Linked DNA regions of Mus musculus: region 2 is reported to be linked to region 1. Evidence: microRNA targets listed by miRTarBase, many of them from high-throughput screens and not tested one by one. Region 1 holds a microRNA gene; the other region holds the end of a gene's coding sequence.
The links. Region 1 holds the annotated microRNA mmu-miR-532-5p (CAUGCCUUGAGUGUAGGACCGU, at 1,337-1,358, opposite strand). A microRNA usually pairs through its seed, bases 2 to 8, with sites in the 3' UTR of a target mRNA and lowers its output. Matches are read on the target gene's strand: a 7mer-m8 pairs with bases 2 to 8, a 7mer-A1 pairs with bases 2 to 7 and ends in A, and an 8mer does both.

Region 2: miRTarBase lists Psd3 as a target of mmu-miR-532-5p. Seed matches in the 3' UTR shown: 7mer-A1 at 1,643-1,649.

The regions. Positions count from the first base shown.
Region 1 is chrX:7,247,120-7,250,328 of GRCm38, forward strand. Mir532 (microRNA 532) reads right to left here and starts at 1,378; the gene lies at 1,283-1,378. All of the region lies in intron 2 of Clcn5 (chloride channel, voltage-sensitive 5), which reads right to left. It overlaps Mir188 (microRNA 188), which reads right to left and starts at 937; the gene lies at 870-937.
Region 2 is chr8:67,694,451-67,697,450 of GRCm38, forward strand. Psd3 (pleckstrin and Sec7 domain containing 3) reads right to left here. Exons shown (of 16, transcript NM_177698.4): 16 at 1-2,737. The coding sequence ends at 2,522. Among named protein-coding and RNA genes, the nearest start is that of Gm32888, 170 kb to the right of the region's middle.

The sequences.
Region 1 (3,209 bases):
AAAAAAGAACTATCCAAATAAATGTCTTAAAGCTATCATACACTCTCCTGCACAAAGAAATATATATGTGAGAAAGCAGGACACAGTGCGGGTTTTTCCACTCCCTGAAATCTAGTATATATGTGAACAAATGCATCTAAAGAAGTACGTGCAAATTTCCTCATAGCATAAGCTTATGAGAAATAGCTAGATGGCTTTCTTTCCAGCTAACTTGAGAATGAGAGTCCTGAGAAGGCTCTCTCTGCTCCCCTATATACAGGAAAAGCAAGACCAGGACAAAAGACTTCCCTTCTTTCTAAGCAATAACTGTCACCAAAGGTAAGGGTCCATACTCTGTACAAAATACAATACAAAATTAGAAGGTAAGAAGGCTGGAAATATAACTCAGTTGATAAAAGTATGCCTAGAACTCACAGAACCCTGGGTTCCATCCCCAGCACAGCAGAAACCAGGCGTACATTCCTATAATCCTAGCATTCAGGACAAAGAGGCATGAAGATCAGAATTGGAACATCAAGCCAGGCATAGCCACTCCAGTCTTATATCTAGCACTGAGAAGGCAGAGGCAGGCGAATTTCTGAGTTTGAGGCCAGCCTGGTCTACAGAGTGAGTTCCAGGACAGCCAGGGCTATACAGAGAAACCCTGTCTCGAAAAAAAGTGCTCCATCATCATCCTTAGCTATGCAGGGAGTTCAAAGGCAGCATGGGACACATGAGCCCTCCCTGGAGAAAGAAAACTGTGAGATGTGCATGTCAGGTGGAAGACAGGACAGATGGCTGTTTCCTTGGGTATGTGGGGTTTTCTTTATGAAGTTGTGTATGCATATGTCCACCATGCACAAGAGAGCAAGGAAAGCTGAAGCTCACCATCCTGCAAACCCTGCATGTGGGAGGGGTTTTCAGAGAGCTCACCCTCCACCATGCAAGGGATGTGAGAGAGGGAGCAGGGAAGGGTTCACTCTCTTGGCACAACAGGTAGGTACTTTCTATGGAAAAAGCAACAGAAAGCAGCCCAGGGATCACGCAGAAACAACAAACCAGCTACATGAAACTGATGGTGGGTAAGGCAGGAGGAACACACACATGCGGACCAAGAGGGGCATTACAGGCAGGAAAGTCACTTGGAAGAGATAGCGAATGGCAATGCTGTGTGTATATATATACATATATATATATGTATATATATATATATATATGCGCCACACAGAGAGCACATGAGAGAGAGGAGACATGTCTTTGCTGTAGATGTATATGCAGTCATGCCTATGCACAGGAGAGAGAAGAGAAGGCTTGCTCTCCTGCAAGCCTTGGGTGTGGGAGGGTAATTAAGATGTCAACGGTCCTACACTCAAGGCATGGAAGAGAAAAAGCAAATCTGTAGGCGTGCTCTCCTGTGTACAAATCAGCATGCATGTACAACAGTGTGTCTTTGTCTGTGTTGTATGTTGGTCCTGAAAGGTATGATGACTGCCTTAGACATAGCACAATGAAAAGGTGTATTTGTGAACATGCACATATATGCCTTTAGGAGTGTTCACTTCCTATGGACTATTTGTTTTTATACTCTTAATTATTCATTTTATTTATTCACTTTATATTCCACTCACTGCCCCCTCTTCCAGTTGTTTTTAATATTCTTTTCTTTTTATTCCCAATGCCAGTTTATATTTGCTCTTGGTAGAGTATTAAGTTGTGGTAATTTGTTAAGCTCTTCTATGTTTCTTTTTTTTAAATTAGATATTTTCTTTATTTACATTTCAAATGTTATCCCCTTTCCTGGTTTTCCCTCTGAAAACCCCCTTTGCCATCCCCCTCCCCCTGCTCACCAACCCACCCAGTCCCACTCCCCTGCCTTGGTATTCCCCTATACTGGTGCATCGAGCCTTCTCAGGATCAAGGGCCTCTCCTCCCATTGAGGTCCAACAAGGCCATCCTCTGCTACTTATGCAGCTGGATCCATGAGTCCCTCCATGTGTACTCTTTGGTTGGTGGTTTAGTCCCTGGGAGCTCTGGGGCTACTGGTTGGTTCATATTGTTGTTTCTGCTATGGTGGATGCTCTCATCCAACCACTGGATGAGAGCATTCACCTGAACCTCCACATAGCTAACACACTCCCCTCCCACATTCCTGAGCTAAAATTTATTAAATCTATATTTTATCTTTGCTGTCCTGAACCCTTTTGGGCAGCCCTTCTGGGGCCACCTTCCCCTTTGTGTAGTCTCCCCTCCCCCAGCCTGAAACCTTGCTTGCTCAGGGGTGGAGCTTCCCGCTCAATCTTTCTGCCACGCCTACTGCTGGAACCTGCCGCTTTGCTGTTCCGAAGCCATCACGTGATCACCCTGCTACTGGATCCCAAGATTATTTGGCGGGAATTGGGCCCCTTCCCCCTTCCTTTATAACTGAGTGCCAAAATAGTAAAAATTGAACCGTGAGCAGAGAGCTTTGTCTTGGTTCCTTCCTTATCTCGCGCAGCCCAGCCCCTCTTCTCTTCCAGGTTTCCAAAATGCCTTTCCAGGCTAGAACCCAGGTTGTGATCTACTGGCCAGACACAACACCTTTGTACCTACATTTCAGCTGTCTCTCCCTCCTGTACCTTCCCTGCATAGTCTGTCACTTGTGCCCTTGTCATTGTGGAATCCCCTCTTCCTTCTCTGCTGTGCTTCTTGCTGGGGAATCCTGCAAGTCTGGCTTCTGTCTCCCTGCCCAGTCACTGGTCACTGGCAACTTTATTTCCCAATCAGAGCCAACTAGGAGCAGAGACCCTCAGCACAGACATGTGGGCTCCCATATGATTTCAGGAGCCAAATTAACACAAATAACATTAGAACCAATCTGCAACATTAAGTACTTTTCATATACAACTAATTTGTTCCCACAAATATCTATGAAGTAATGATCATGTTCCCTGTCCTACAGATGAAACAATACCAGGTCATACTTAAAGAACAGCTAGAAAGAATGATTATAGGATATAATCTGGGTGTAGCAGTACACCCTCCATAATCTCAGCAATGAGAGGCTGAGGCAGGTGAATAGCAAGTTGGAGACCTGACTGCTTTACATTGTACAATCATGTGATCAAAATAAAAATCAACAAACAAAAAAGAAAGCTGAGAATGTGTAATGTGAGCCATCAGAAAGAAAGCCGGAAAAGTGGGCTTTATCTCCTGATCATATTTGTGTGCTCACACAAAAGGTAGAGCACAAG
Region 2 (3,000 bases), not on the chromosome of region 1:
ACAAGAGCTCCCGGTACCGTGTACTGGGCAACAGGCTTAGCAGAGCTGTTCAATGGACCACCTTCCATTTCTTAGGAATCAATACTGTGGGAGAAATGGGGCTGACTATGGGCCAGACTCTTAGAGTCCCATCAGATCTGAGAATGCAGCATCCTTCCAGAGGCCTCAGGGAAGACACATTTTTAGCCTATCCCCAAAGGTAGACAGCATTACACTAGGGCAGGCTGGGATTCTGACTCACAAAAGACTGCTTCAGTTATTTTTCAAGATAAATGATGTAGACAGAGTAGTCCACAGCTTTAAAAGTGCCTTTGTGATCTGATTATCTATAAGCATGTCCAGAAGCTCTAGAGCCAACACTAGTGAGTCCTGTAACAGGAACAGTGGCAGAGCTAATGCTAAGGGTAGTCCTAGACAATTCTCCATGTCAGAAACTCTGCAGCAAGGTACCATTCAATGTATATTAGATACTCTACATAAGTACACACAAACATTCTATACATATAGCACACACTGTGGACAAACACATTTAGACATGTTAACTGTTCAGCTACTGATGCTCTAAGATGATGCTCAAGACTCCAAGGTCTTGGTACCTTTCCCTTCAGGGATTACAAATACTTAGGCAAAAAGCAGACAGTGATAGTTCACCTTCTAGAAGAAAGGCAACTTGCTTGGGGAATATTGGATTCACTAGGATGCTATGAAATAGTTCAGGTATATGGAGCCACAATGTTAACTATCATATTCGCTTCATGGTTCTGAGATATAAATTAAATCACTGCCTTTACTTAAACAAGATAGAAGTTTAGGGAAGTTTTTCCAATAGTGTGGCAAAATACCATGAAGCAAGCAGCTACCGTATTGGAGAGAAGTGTTACTATTCCGGGGCACAAGCAAGGTGGGCATGTACAGAGGTGAAAGAAGTACAGGCTAACACACAGTCCTGTGACTAAATGCTAGTACATCCTAACGAGATGTCTCTATAAACTACCGGGATTTTTTAACAGGCTTACTCTAACTTACTAGAATCATGCTATTCATGCAAGAGCAGCTGATTCTCTGGTCATAGTACCTTCAACTAACCAAGTCGAAATAGAGGAAATATTTAAGGAGAATAAAGAATATCTAAATGTCATCCTGTTAGTTTTTGAAGATATTTTGATGGGAAGATAGTAGTTTTAGAGAATACAGTTTCAAGGCTGGAAACTGGACAGTTTTCAGCCACAGAGGAAGTTCACCTTTTACGCCTTTTTCTTCCTCTACAGACAATACTCTACTTAATACTTTAAATTGTAAAGGGACTGCTTTGACTGTAAAGTGAAACCATTTTGAATGCAGGAAAAAAATAAGATTAAATGTATACAAGTAATTCCAGGAGCAATCTTAATAGTGGCATAGCAAGACCGCTGTAGAGGTGGAGATGAGAATAAGCTAAGACGCTGCTCATACATCAGACCCCTCCATCCTCGGTCACTGTGATCAGACTGATTTCATAGCCCGTCTGATGGCCTGATCTTGATGAAGAACTGCATCTGTGTTGCTCCTTATTTGTCTTGATATAGAAAAGAAAGAGAAGAGTATGTGTGGGGGAAGGTGGTATTCATTTCCAACATTGTTTTGTTTCAACCAGGACATGATCTATGCCTGTACATCTATGTTAAATGAATCTATTCCTGGATGGAAAGGTATCAATCACAGAGATGATTTTGATTCCTAGTCTAGATTCCATGGGAGTGAGGTAACATTTCTATAGAAGACCATACATCCTACTGCTACAGTTCCAAAGAGCTGATTACTGCCACCAGCCTTTAGAAAACAAAAGTGGCTCGGGATCAAGCCATCCTCAGGCTCCCTTCAAGCAAGATGACTCCACTTCTGAATTCCCTTGCATGGCTGGAATGGAATGCACACCTGAGACAAACTCCTGTGCCTCCCTAAGGTCTCCAGTCCTGTCATCCTCGTGCTCCCTTTTGTCCTGTGTCCAGCACCAACAACAGGTGCCAGGAAGAACGCAGAAGTGTCCTATCTTGGGACACCTCGACTCCCAGCGCTGCCATTTTCATGTGAGCAACTATGAACTTTCAACTTCACCTCCGTGACTGGGCAGGATTTCACATGTAAAGTCTAGGATTTACTAAAAGCACAATGCTTGTCCAGTTATGGGTTTCACAATGGATTAAAAATTTAAACCTAAAAAAAAATACAACAACTGATTGGTAATACACAAAATAACTGTATAGAAGTGCAAATAAGAGAAAGCCGAAGAGAAAGGATCTGTAGCCCTCCTCCTCCTCCTCACAAAAGGTGCATTAGTTATAAAGTTGTCCAAATCATCAAAGCAAAGGAACTCAAGAGCAAAGACACCTGTACAGAAACTAACAAAAATATATAATAGAAAAGGTTACTAATGCACCGTTTAGTCACAGACTGTTTTTTAAATATATTCACGGATTACCAGAAAGATCTTGAAAAACCCTATTTTGTTCCATGACCAGCACCTCCTGGCCGCGGATGGATTCTAAGTAACTTTTTGCTTAATGCCCGGTGTTTCAGGTCGGTGGTCTTTTCTCTCTGACACGTTGCGCTTGACCTTGGCAGTGACTGGAGATGCATCTGGGTTGAGGGAGGGACTTGAGTGTGACTTCTTCAGTCCCACGGGCTCATTTCCATCGGTAGTCAGGAGCTCTTTGCCTCCTTCTTTCAGAACGCTGACATAAATCTCATAACGGGTTTTCTAAAGGCAAAATCAGAGAAGTGTGGTCAGTACAGTTTACAATTACATGTGTGTAGCACACCTAGCATGTTCTTACACATGACATCATACGTTTTTGAATATTTGACTTTATCCCAAGCTGACAAAATACTTCTGTACCCATAACTGTGAAACGATGACTGCCTCATTTATTCAAGTAAGAAACTAACCTACAATTTCCATTAGTATTTATTCTAGATTCGGAAGGAATACCAACGTACTAGATAGAGTACAGGCATCTGAAA